Linked DNA regions of Arabidopsis thaliana. The protein of the gene in region 2 interacts with the protein of the main gene of each other region in a pairwise test. Each region holds a gene or a part of one and is shown on either strand. Other genes may lie near its edges.

Evidence for each region. Proteins that work in one complex are often made in the same cells at the same time.
Region 1: the proteins of AT2G38250 (region 2) and FHA2 interact in binary tests that used the Arabidopsis thaliana proteins (3 or more experiments, as listed by UniProt).
Region 3: the proteins of AT2G38250 (region 2) and ATE1 interact in binary tests that used the Arabidopsis thaliana proteins (3 or more experiments, as listed by UniProt).

What each region holds. Positions count from the first base shown.
Region 1 is NC_003074.8:2,295,911-2,300,072, forward strand, and holds FHA2 (SMAD/FHA domain-containing protein), read left to right. Parts: upstream 1-1,975; 5' UTR 1,976-2,057; coding exon 2,058-2,652; intron 2,653-2,849; coding exon 2,850-3,007; intron 3,008-3,287; coding exon 3,288-3,497; 3' UTR 3,498-3,662; downstream 3,663-4,162. Other genes in the region: AT3G07230 (wound-responsive protein-like protein), read left to right, coding at 4,010-4,080. UniProt on the Arabidopsis thaliana protein: May play a role in the control of plant organ development and specifically in the regulation of stamen development. Does not show transactivation activity in yeast.
Region 2 is NC_003071.7:16,016,597-16,020,793, reverse strand, and holds AT2G38250 (Homeodomain-like superfamily protein), read right to left. Parts: upstream 2,585-4,197; 5' UTR 2,411-2,584; coding exon 2,105-2,410; intron 1,858-2,104; coding exon 1,294-1,857; 3' UTR 638-1,293; downstream 1-637.
Region 3 is NC_003076.8:1,712,170-1,717,358, forward strand, and holds ATE1 (arginine-tRNA protein transferase 1), read right to left. Parts: upstream 3,563-5,189; 5' UTR 3,471-3,562; coding exon 3,338-3,470; intron 3,177-3,337; coding exon 3,138-3,176; exon of another isoform or gene 3,046-3,137; coding exon 2,895-3,045; intron 2,665-2,894; coding exon 1,564-2,664; intron 1,383-1,563; coding exon 1,025-1,382; intron 898-1,024; coding exon 781-897; 3' UTR 501-780; downstream 1-500. Other genes in the region: AT5G05710 (Pleckstrin homology (PH) domain superfamily protein), read left to right, coding at 3,774-4,208; AT5G05720 (RNA-binding (RRM/RBD/RNP motifs) family protein), read left to right, coding at 4,702-4,703, 4,819-4,929, 4,997-5,111. UniProt on the Arabidopsis thaliana protein: Involved in the post-translational conjugation of arginine to the N-terminal aspartate or glutamate of a protein. This arginylation is required for degradation of the protein via the ubiquitin pathway. Component of the N-end rule pathway with ATE2 and PRT6.

The DNA.
Region 1 (4,162 bases), on a different chromosome or scaffold from region 2:
ATTTATTATCACTTATCAGCATTCAAGTCCAACTTTTTACTTCAAAACAAACAAAACTAGAAAATCCAATTCAATCAATTTTATTGGAGCATTTAAGTTAATCTCAAGTAGTTTAAACTTGAAAGAGTTGGATTCACAACTTATTGTATACACGAGAAAAAATGTAACAAACGATATTCCAAAAAAAAAAGTCAATTAAAGTGAACTTATCAGAATAACATTGTTCTTCATCATGTTTAAAACCCCAAAACAAAATCCAATTGCAAACACCGGTTTCTCAATGTACATCTCTCAAAAAAACATAGTAAACGACTGTACATAATGAAAATGGGAACTCTTTCTATGAACCATCGAAGACTCCAAGTATTCTATTACACTGGTTAGGGAGTTGAAAAGAAGTAAACCATAATGTGTCAAATCCGATCCAACATCAATTCCGTTAGCGCTTAAGAAGTCTTTTTGCATCTGCAATATCCTGCAATATAACAATAGCACCAAAACAAACTAGTACATAATCAACATTAACAACAGCTAGGAGCAAAAGCACTAGTCAAGAACTTAATTTAACCTTAATTAACAATTCGAGTTAACAAAGAAAGAAAAGAGTACTGAAAGTACCCGCTGCAGAAAAACTGCTTCTTTAGGAGAGGTAGGGAACTGCACTAAACCGATTCCAACAATTAATAGCAAAGGACACTACAACGTATATAGGTAGCTGGTGCAAAGATATACATTATTAATATTGACTAACTGAGAATAGCAATAAGCAAAAATGAGCACAACAGACTCATTACTAACCAACTATGTTTGGCTACGAGCCATAATTGCAGCCTGCAAGAGAGCAAACTAAAAGGCAGAGACAGCTACCAGCAGGCTCAAAATCTTGACCACATGCTTCATTGTCCTTGAAACAAAGTTTATGTAAGATTTGAGTATTGACAATATACCAGAAAAGAGGACTACACTAATGCATTTTCCGATTTCTTGCATATTTGGAGCTGACCATGAACGGGTGCCATTAAAGGATATCTATAGAAGTGAATTCCTTCAAATAACAAATTGCCAATTCTAAATCCATTACGCATAATTTCCACACATCTTAAGCAACTTATGTCCAGACCAGAATCTAGCATAGTCATGATAACTAAAAGAACAGTAAAATGCAACCCAAACCATCAAAATGGGAAAGGAAAAAAAAACGACTTTTCACATTTTCTTGGATCTCATAATACAAGCGGTCAGGAGCTCAAAGCCCTTTAAGCATAATTTGTAGAACCTGAATCTTAAAAAAAAAAAGAAACACAAATACATGATTTCCCACCGTTCCTCAGGATTTTAAACATTCTATAGTCAGATCCTCAGGAAATCAAAGCCATTACACAACACATTTCAGAACATTATAGGCTAAATGATTTGAAAACTTGAATCCTAAAATTCATTAAGCTGCCCCAAAACCAAGCTTCTACTAACAAAACAAACTACAATTAACCATCCGAATCAAACCATGCACCCAAAACTCGAATTGAAATTTGATATATCTAACAATGATTGAGCTGCCATCAGAATGAATTATTAGAAAATAATTTTGTCACGGTTCCTTCAGACCAGAGTAAACTCCAATCATCCGAAACTCAAAACCCTTGCGCAAAATTTTCAATCATCATTTGGCAACTTATTCAATCAAACCAACAACGAAAATAAACAAAAGGTTACATAAAACTAACCAAGCCTATGTTCTAAAGCAAACGAAATCAAAAAATTCAAACAATCAATAAGATGCTCCACTATTTGCGGGAGAGATGGAACCTTTAAGCTCACAGATCTCGCCGCCATTCTCAATGTTTCTTCGGCTGTTTTAAATAGTTGTGTCATTAGGGTTTTTATTCAGGTCTTAAAATCATGGGTATAATCGTCAATTTCACAAAATAAGCCTTTGTCCTGGATAAGCTAAACCAGTTTCCAAACAAATCTTGCTTCGATTCACAAATTATTACGATTGCAATCCCTAATTTGGAAGTCCCGGTTCCTCTTTCGATCAAATCGGAGAATTTCACGGCATGGCTACGGCTGTTGGTGGCGGAAGCGATGTGGAGGTTGGATTTGCGAAGCTTCAAGGTGAGGATTTCGAGTACTATATGCAGTCTTACTCCATTATACTCGGCCGGAATTCTAAGAAAGCCACCGTCGACGTTGATCTCTCATCCCTCGGCGGTGGGATGAACATCTCGCGCAACCACGCTCGGATCTTCTATGACTTCACTAGACGACGCTTCTCTCTCGAGGTCCTTGGCAAAAATGGCTGCCTCGTTGAAGGTGTTCTTCATCTCCCTGGGAATCCTAACGTCAAGCTCGATTCACAAGACCTTTTGCAGATCGGAGACAAAGAGTTCTACTTTCTCCTACCGGTTCGGAGCATCTTAGGCGGGCCGTTGGGACCTAGGCACCACGTCTCTGGGCAAACAAGTGTTGTTCCATACCATAATTATCAGTCGGGTCCAGGTTCTGGGTCGGGTAAGAAGGGCGTCAGGAGTAGAGAGTTGTATGAGTACGATGATGAAGATGATGATGACGACGACGATGAGGAGGACGATATGAGAGGAAGTGGAAAGAAAACAAGGAGAGATGGACATGAAGTAGTATATGCTTCCGGAGGTAAAACCAGATTGCTCATGATTGTTTGAGTTTTCATTGTGCAACTAGATATGTTTCAGATTATGATGCTTACTTGATCACATCAGGCTTGTTTCTTTAGACTTTGATTGTGGTGGTTGCTGATTGAACCTTGTTAGACTTGGATTGAATTTGAATGCTAGTGACACCACGACATTGTATCTGCTTCATTTGTGCAGAGAAGAAGAGAGAGGGAAGATCAAAGGTAGATCGTGAAGCTGATGATCAACAATTTTTGCAGCTGGAGGAAAAAGATGTTGTATCGTCTGTTGCCACTGTGCTTTCCGATTTGTGTGGTCCGGGAGAGTGGATGCCTATGGAAAAACTTCATTCGGTGGTTAGTTTTTATGAGAAAGTTCCTTGCCTTTTTCTAATACAGAATGTAGTACGAGTAATCAATTGAAACAAGACTTGTATAATGTCAAGGTGATAATTAGTGTGAAGCTAGGTCCTTAATTAGTTTTCCAATGGAAACGCGCTACGCTACTTATATGTGTCTAAGTCTAGAAAGTATGTCAGTTACTCCATAGATTTTGAATGACTAGTGTAGTCTGACTATGAACTTCTTTGTGATTCAATATGATGGCTAATGCATGGTAGTGGTTGGTCTGTGACAGATATTAAAGGAGTATGGAAACGTATGGCATCACAGTCGAGTAAGAAGATACCTATCACAAGAAGACTGGGCTATCCCTGAAGCAAAAGGTAAACCATGGTACGGTTTGCTGATGCTGCTGAGAAAATACCCGGAGCATTTCGTCATCAACACGAGATCAAAGGGAAGAGTTACCCTTGAATTCGTTTCCCTCGTTACCCTACTCTCATGAGAACTTTACCTTAGTGACTCGGATTAAGATTTAAGAAGCTTTTCTCTCTTTTCTTTGTTTCATATGTAAAATATTTTGGCATTGATTAGTAACACGCTGTGTCGTTTTTCTGCACCCAAAAACGCCAACTTCTTGGTCCTTGCAGTTGAGAGATTTTGATTTTCTTTTTCTTGATTCTTATTTTTGATAAACCCATCGAGATTTTTCTTTCATCAAAGGGCAAAAAATTCGTGCCAATTCAGAAATCGTTATGTTCGGTGGATTTGGGCCATAAAAAGAGAAAAGGCCGAAACAGAGAATGATCCAAAGTGGCTCAAGTACGTATCCAGACAATATAAAAAGGTTGGAATGTGCAAACTTAGGGTTATACTCGTATCTTGTAGCAGCCACTAAAGCAAAATTCTGAGATCGAAAAAGCTATATAAAAAAAAAAAACTGCTTCCGTTTCATCGATTTTGTCCAGATCTTCCCCTTCTTCCGGTAATCGAAGCTTACGAGATAGTTGAGTGAAGATGATCTATGATGTGAACTCTGGTCTATTCAGATCCTTCCTGAGCCAGAAGGGTAGCTCGTCCGACAAAAGGTACAAAATCTTGTCTTGTCTGATCCAAATATGAGATTATCTCGATGTTGTTCCCAGATCTATCTATTGATGTGTCATTCTT
Region 2 (4,197 bases):
TATATTTCTACAAAATATCTTATTTTTAGAAGAGCTATACTAACTAATGCAGCGAAGATAAACGAAAAACAATAGTAAATTTGCGGGTACCAAAATGAGAATCGTCGAATCTATTTCCTATACAACAATTTATTTAATACGTAAAAAAAGACGTCGTTATCCTAAATATCTAAAGCTAAAGAGAGAGTCATTAACCAAAAAAATGTTCTTTTGCTAAATGTTGTAAAATCTAAGAGTTGTATAAAGGTTATTTCTAGTTATGTATTTAAATTGTTACTATTTGTCATGATAATTTTAAAATTCAAAGAGTTTATAATATTAACAACAAATAGATATATAAAATCATATTTTCAAAATTTTCAATAAAATATTTTAGTCACACAAAAAACTGTTAAATTTTTTACAAATAAATCCACGCATGAGTTCATAGCTAGTAAATAAATAAAGAAACAACAATGTTACCAAAAAAAAACTGGTTAACGTATTTTCTAGAATTAACATGTGATGTGTATTTTATTCATTAAGCATCTCCTTAGTATATAATTATATAAATATAAATTTACAAATAAAATAATACAAGATCTTTACTAATCTTTATGTGGAAAACAAAAAAAAAACATAAGTAAAACAAATTTATGTGGATAAGAAACGCCATACGCATTCACGTATTATCTTGCCATGTTAGATATGATTCTCAATGTTACAAGAAAACATTTATGGTAAAATAATAAAAGTTTAGATCGCAGACAATGGACCTAAATGATCCCATAATTCATAGGATAAGTTTTCATTCTTGTTTCGAGCATGTTTAATATTTCCACTAACTGTTTTGCCCTCTTGATCTCTACATTCTCATCAAAGTTAATTAGTTCATAATACCATAAACTATTAGTATCCTCGTTCTCTTCTGCATGAAGATAATATTTGAAACCGATATTACATTCGCTGCACTATATATGGATTTGTAGGTTAACTCTAACAAAATCCAAATTACTCTAAAATACTACACATACGGTCCTACAAATTACTAATTAAAACCAGTATACTACTAAGATTAAATGATATGCTATAAGAATTTGGCTCGCCAAAATATAAACTAGGAAGAAATAATGTGGGGATGATAAATTACTAAAGCCTCACTAAAACTCAAATATGTCATCATATCAATCAATATATGAGTGTTGAGATTTGCCGTAGATATTATCTTCCCCCACCAAATAATTGTACCTACACTACACCCCAAACAAGCATATAAGAACAAGTTAATTTAGGTTAAGCAAAGCTGACAAAAGATTAGAGGGAACCATCTCTAGTAAGCTTAGCAAGCAATGCATTGATAAGTGAATCCCTCTTCTCTGCTCTCATCTCCTCCCTCGACCGCCGTTGCTCCTCTCTATCCCGCCACATCCGCTCCATTGCCAACCTCTCCTTCTCAAGCTCCTCCATCTTCCTTCTCCATTCTTCTTCTTTCTCTGCTCTTTCCTTCTCCCTAGCCTCCCATCCTTCTCTCCACTCGCTCTCCATTCTCACTTGATGTCTCATAAACTCTTCCAACACTTCTCTTACACCATTATTGCTATTACTACTATTACTACCGCCTTTTCGCTTCTTTGCAATGTTCTTTTTCGGATTTAGAATTTTTGGGTCGTTGCTGACATCTACTAGCTCTTCATTCACATTCTCTTCTTCCTCATCTGAAGAATACTCTCTCTTTCTCGCTGCCCCGCTTGTTCCCCCTCCTCCTCCCTCGGATTCAGCCCATAGCATTCTCTGCATTCTAGTGGTAAATATATTTTGCATATCATCATAAAAAGGGAACTGTTGTCTCGCTGTCTCTGCCTCCATTGTCTCACATCCCTAGAAACATCAAGCAATACATCACCAATGAGATTGTATACATATAATTAAACTACTTAGCAGATTATGGACAACAAGATTCAGAAATATTTACAATGGTGTTTGTCTATATGTCCCGGAAAGATTATGGACTATAAGATTCAATATTTCTTGGTTACAAATTTTTATTTATTTATTTGTTCCATGCAAGACCTCCAAGATTATAAAACATCCACAAAATGAAAGAAGAGGGAGAGAGAGAATAGACCTTAAAACGAGTGACGAGGTTCTTCCACTTGCACTTGCACTGTTCAGGGCTACGAGGAAAGCTTTTGTCTCTCATCTTGTTAGAGATAACTTCCCAAAGAAGCTTGTTCCGTTTTGTCTCCATGAAAGTTTGATCTAGCTCTCCTCTTATCCCTATCAACTCTTTTGTCTCTTCGACGCTCCACTGTGGAAACCTATCCCCAACAGCTACCGGAGAGGCTATTTCCGGCGTTTGCGATTGAGTATGAAGATGATGCTTGTTGAGATATTGAAGCTGGTGAAGGTGATGATGCTGATGTCCATCCATATGAAAGAATCAAGAAGAAGAAACTATAAAAAAAAAATAAAGAAAAAAAATCACCAAACGATCTCTAAAGCAAAGATTTTGAAGAAGCTTTCACTTTTTCAGATCGAAAAACAAAATATTTCTTGTTTTTCTTTATCTTTTGGTTTTTGTGTATTTGTAATGTGAAAACGTTGGAAGAAAGAAGTCTAATTTTCTTTGATCGCAATTCTTTTCTTCTTCTCCACTCTCTCTTTCTCCTGTCGCCATCTGTCTACGCGTTTACTTTTTTCTCTGTCTTGGATTTTTTCTAATACAATTTACTTTTTTTTTGTGTGTCTTCTTTTGACAAAATATTAAAAAGAAAAAAGCTTTCGGCAGATTTGTCATTTCATTTCTAATAGTATATAATTAGTTAAAATATCGATTGAAATGGTATTATAGAGCAAAGGATAATTAGCGTCTTAAACTACCAGTCAATTCGTTAATAAAAGATATGTTGACTGGTGATCAGGAGAGATGTGGATATTTCTATCGTTATCTCATAATGTAATCACTTTCATTTGACAAATAGTATTCTAGATTCTGACAGTCGACATATTTGTCAAATATGTGTATGAAATGAGTTTATTACTGAGTTGGTTTGGTAAAATGGTAGGGATAATAAATTTAATTAAAATGATGATAATTTTTTATATTGCTTTAAATATAAAAAACAGTAAAATATTAAAGAGAAAGTCAAGTCTTTAAATAATATAATACAATTTTTCTTTTGTCAAAATAAATTAGAGTGAAAGTGTAAGAAAAACATAGGTGAGTGGTAAATATTTCCTATTGAGTTATAGAGCTCTTTATGTATTTTCTGTTTAATCTGCTTTTTCATTCATACTATAATGAGGAATCAAATTGATGTGACGATAACATTGCGTTGAGGTTTCATCATCACCGCGAGAAGTTTCGGTTTGTATACTTTTTGTAATAATACTGTGTGGTTATTAATTCTCGGCGACCAGTCATATCCTTAGCTTCATGCCCAAGTTTCTATTTACTACTTTGTCTTTGTTTATTTTTCCCTTTTTCAACAAAATTCGATATTTTTCTAATTTTGAGCACCTTTTTTAAATACAAAACTAGGTGACTTCTCTAGAATCTCTCGTTTCCTAAATTCCTTCACGTGTTATTCCTTGTATGGTTATCAAAATAACAAAAGTGTTGGAATGATTTCTTCATTCACGAAATGACAAATTATAGTGTGACACGTGCGTGGAACTAGCCAGCTAGGAACAACATTCTAGAGATGTGAAACTTGTTAGGCCAATTTTGAATTTTTTTAAAAGCATGAACATGACAAAAAAAAGCATGTGCCAAACTAATTCATTTTCAACTTAAGGTTTATTATGGGTTGGCAGCCCAAACCCATTCTACACAGTTTGGGCCCAATTTGTCTTCGAGTGATGTACAATTTGGCAATTGGACTCACATAAGAACAAATTTTGTGTAACCCCTACAATAGATGAAAACTGCAACTCTCTTCTAAAGTAAAGGACTAAAGTCAACCTAGTCCCTTAAATGAGGTTTGGAAAATTCTTTGTCTGCCTCGTTCACTTTTATTTTGCCTCGTTTTATGTATCTGTTGAAGGAACACCACTTGGTTGATTATGGTACGAAAAACATGTTATTTGGACTTTCACCAAATTTATGTCGATATAAAAAGATCAGTACAAATTTGTTATTGATTTTATTTTTAGAGGCTACATTTCCTATGGTTTGTGACCAGACTATAGCTAGCTACAATTTTTTTATTGTATTTT
Region 3 (5,189 bases), on a different chromosome or scaffold from region 2:
CGTTGTGAAGAAAAGCTTCAAAACTCTTTGGATTTAAATTGGTAGTTTCAAATACATTTTAAAAAAGAAAAAAAGAAGAAGAAGATACTCCTAGTAGGAGAAGTAGCTAGCGGTCAAAAGGGTCAAGAAAAAAAAAGAAGATTACGGAAGACGAGGAGGGGCACACGTGTGAGAGATGTGGTAAAAAGTGTTCTGCTGCAAAAATTCTGAGAATGTTAAAAAAAATTTAAAAAACCTTTATTCTTTTTTACTTAACACTTCCCAAAGTCTGAAATCTGCTCGTGTGGGCCTTTGCCTTTCTTTTTCACTGTCAGGCCTCCCCACGTGCGCCTCTCTCCTCCTCATTCCCTTTCTCCTTTTACTATTTTTTATACATTTATATCTGTAATGCTGAATTGCTGATATGTAGCTCGATAATATTACAAATAATATAGTTTTGGATATCTCCCAATAGTTATTATTATAAACTTTTATTATCGTAATAAAACCTCTCTATTTGTAGTTTGTTTCTTGCAAAAATTAAAAAGCATAACAAAACCATATGTACGTACCAAAGATTGACAAAAACTACTTCATGAACAGTAAGTTAGTTTTCAACTTCTTGGACAGAAATTTTTTCAATATAAAGGTAATCAGAAAATACAAACTTAAAGAAAGACACCATGTACAAGTCTCATAGTCATAGATATACAACAACTGAAACATGAATACAAACAATTTTGAGTTTTATCTAATGACTAATGGTACCAAAGCTCAATGGAGCTTGGTATTGTTGAAGCTTCAGTTGATTTCATACACCATTCTCTCTGAAAGCTCAGCGCCCACAACCTTGCGGTAGCTTTGTAACATCGGTTCCAGTTGCTTCCTGCCTACGGGAGTTATGATCTGCCGCATTTCCTTCCAAATCCATTTTTTTTTGTTTAGTTGTCATCAATATGAGGAGAGTTTGATAATGCTCAATAAATACCCAATTAGCTATGATAATTCAAAAAGAAACAAAAAAAGAAGAAGAAGTTTGATGTACCTTGTATCTATATTGGGATCCATAAAGACCGATAAGGATGTTGTTAATGTCGTTATCTTTGGATCCAGGGTCTGACTCAATATGAGAGTCCTCTGATTCAGTCTCATACATTTCCTCATCATCATCATCATCATCATCATCATCCTCATCCTCATCTTCATCCTCATCACTGCAGCCCATAAAGTTATCATTCGTCTCCCCTTGTTCCATGTCTTCATGTTCACTTGCTGCTGGTTCCACGAGAGTTTCAGAAGCACCAGCTAGTAAAGAACATTGATTATGTGAAATAGCAATATCGGACAATATGACATATGGCTTTTTATCAAGCATCGGCCTTGCTACTTCAAATGGAACCCACCTGGAAACACAACTCCGAGTGTTAAAAACTTACATTTACCAGTCTCTTCACTTCAATGACATGTCTAAGAAGAGGACATAAATATCTTTTTACAAGTACCAGAACTTCATATGAGAGGAGATCAATGATAAACTAAGGCATAGAGTAAAAAAATATACGACTCAGTTTGGTTGTAACTTACTGGAAACGGAGAGGACATAGAAGCTCAGATGGACGATAGGCTGCTTTATATCTCATCTTGCTGCAGGAATGTATATAATAACCAAGATAGTAATACTGAAGAGAAGGGCAGCGAGCTTGGTTCTCTATAACCCAATTAATTTCTTGAATGGCAGAATATTTTCCGAGCGATAAGAATGCATAGTCTGGATCCCAGAATAAGTATACACTTGACAAACATTTAGGAAGAATGTCTACAACCCCGACGGCAATTAGGCGGCCATCAATTCTATATTGTTGGTGGAAAGAGCCGAAGCCACAAGGCGGAACCTTTTCATCACCTGAAGGTTGAACATCTATTAAAGGAGAGTCGACCAAAAACCTTCTGTATGAACTTTCTACAACGTGCCCTGGCTTATCATTGTGCACTTTCAGCTGATACCGTTTGTATAACTCATGTTCTTCAGGATCAAAACTAGACCTTTTCAAATGTATCTCCAGCTTTCGCTTTCTTGCCTGATGGTTTTCTGAATCCTTCTTAGCGTGAAGGGTTTCACTTCCATCTAAAGAATTGGCTCCTCTCGAGATGTTACCATTAGGTACAACATCTCTATCAGAAAAAGAATCTTTGGCAGATGAAAGGAAATTGATATGGCCCTTACAGACTTTGATAGACACATCAGGAGTTTCCCCCACCTTATGCATTGCACTCAACAACATCTCAGAAATAGTTTCAGGTGATAATCTATTTCCTTCTGCACTATTTATCCCCTCTTTCTCAGATGTCTGGATGCGTTTTATTGCAGCTGCTATTGGAAAAGCAATGTTGCTGGTGTATAAGATTTGTTCTGTTCCTTCAGCTAGTTTCTTTCTTCTAGCACAGAAAACCTTCTTCACTGAAGCTTTTGGTATCTGCATATTAGACGGGAATTCCCCACTCCGTATGCATAATTGCACAGCTTGGTCAATATTTTTAGACAAATCATCCATAACTGCTTCAACTTTCTTATTCTCTTCACTTTTAGCAGCTCCAAGTGTTTTTCTCCTTGTATCTGAAACATCACCAGAGGAAGAAGCACCTCTTTGTTCCCTGGGCTGCACATCTAGTTTGCCATCCAAGAACCTTTGACAAAACATTATTAAGAAAATTCAGGAAGCTCTTCAATGAACGACTTCATTAGAGAAATCTGAAGATCGTGAAGAATATTTACACATCAGAATCATAGATCTCTCCTCATATGCATGTTTCAAAGGTAAAACCTTTCCGACTAAGCCAATAACATGAAACAACTAACACCACAAAAACTTTCATCTATTGATCCAAAAAGAGAAGCAAAGTGAAGCTATATGCACCTTTCTAGTCTTCTAGAAACTCGCTGCTGCTCTTTAGTAGGAACAAAATCACTTGCTTTCAAACGTATCGTATAAGGAGGGCAACACGTTTTATCCATCTCATGTTTGTAAAGATAAGTACCAGATCTTCTCCAGCCTCGGTCAATAAGAGCTACAGAAAAGTAAAGCAAAGATACATAAAAGATCTCTATTCTGTCAACAAAATTGGTTCATCACACATAGAGTCCAATAATAGCAACAAACCTTGGTAGTCATAAACGGTAAGAGTCTGTGCTGATAAACCTGCATTGACATTCACTATGTTTATCAATCATTTATTCATTGGAACTTTAAGATCATAAACAAAATCAATTCTTATCAAGCATATGAGCAATTCGAGAAGATTCTACTCTAATCGATCGATTCAACAACCTAATCCGTAAGAAAAGCAAAATTAAACGAACCGTGAGAGATACTGGACCGAGCTGGGGATTTACAGTAGCCGCAAGTGCTTTTACGGCGGCCATGATCATCGATTACGCTTTCTCTGTTGCTTCCACCGTCGTGGCTACTACTCGCATCGTTTTTCAAAGACATAATCGCCGATTATTCATTCAGAAGAATTTTGCTAAGCTCTTTCCGTTTGGAGAAGAAGACATAATCTTCTTTCACATTTGACTTTTTTTTTCAATATTAAAACATTGTTGCTGACTGTTATGCAATTGGCAAAATGAAGGGGTTGTTATGTAATTATAAATATTTTAAGGGAAGAAAATGAAAAATAAAAACATTTTGGGGCAAAAGATAAACACGAAAAAATAATGGAATCGATAAACAGATTTTCGATAGCATCGGCAGATTTGGATCAAAACCCTAATTCTCCAGTTCAATCTTCGGAAGATGGCAAGCCTGTGGCGAGCAGTAATCGGCGGTCAGAACAACAATTCCGAAGACTACGGAGGCGTAGAGTTCTGGTCAAACCCAGAACGAACCGGCTGGCTCACGAAACAAGGAGAGTACATCAAGACTTGGCGACGCCGATGGTTCGTGCTCAAACAAGGGAAACTCTTCTGGTTCAAAGACTCCGACGTCACGCGTGTGTCACGCCCTCGCGGTGTCGTCCCCGTAGAATCGTGCTTAACCGCTAAAGGAGCAGAGGATGTACTCAACAAGCAAAACGCGTTCGAGCTATCGACGAGAAATGAGACTATGTACTTCATTGCTGATTCGGAGAAGGAGAAAGAAGATTGGATCAATTCCATTGGACGTTCCATCGTGCAAAACTCCAGATCCGTTACCGATTCTGAGATCGTTGATTACGATAACAAACACTAAAGTTTCTCTGTTTTTGTCTTTTGTCAAAGTGATTATGATCACAGCTTTCATTGATGGAGTCTTAAATGTAAATCTTACAAAATCAAGAAATGAAAAGCTTTGTCTCTGCTTGAAAACATGAACTCATATCCGAAAAACATATAATATAAAACCTAATTCTTCAAGGGCAACGCTTCTGGTTCAAAGACTTATATGGTTCTTCAAACATGTACTTACCAAATATGGTAACAGAAGCAATACCTTTTGCACGTGATCAAATACAATAACTTCGTCGTACAGACTAAGATGCATGTATGGAAAGTTCCTCTCGTCATTAAGTGTCCTAAACCCTACCCGCTTCCATTCAGGGCCGGGTCTGGAAGGAACAACAAAATACCTAAAACCCCTCTCCTCTTCTTCTTCTTCCTAGTCCGACACTCTTAGAGTCTTCAAAAACATTGCAAGAAGGAAACAAAATCCATCTTCTTCGTCTATTAGAAACCCTAACTTGAGAATGTAAGTATTGATTTCCCACAACAGTTTTCTTTTTCCTTTAACTAATTAGGTTTAGCAGAAAACAATCAATGTAGGCAAGTTATTTTTTTTTGTTTCGGCCTTCTGTAAATTACAGGTCTTGGATAATCGTTAAGAATCTTCCTTCCAAACATGTGACAGAGGAACGACTTCGAGATGTCTTTTCACGAAAAGGAGAAATCGCAGACGTGAAATTGAAGCGTAAAAGGTACATTCAAATCGAGTGTTTTTCACAGCTAATTCTTGTGTCACTATATTTCGTTTTGCTTTTGCAGTGATGGCAAAAGTAGACAATTTGCTTATATTGGCTTTCGTACTGAACAAGAAGCTCAAGATGCTATCACATATGTTAACAAGTGTTTCATTGATACTTATCGAATATCTGTTGAGGTTATTAATCTTCACTTAATTACTCAGTTTCACTTATGTAGTACTAGTTTCAAATCTAAATCAGATTCTCCTTGGTAT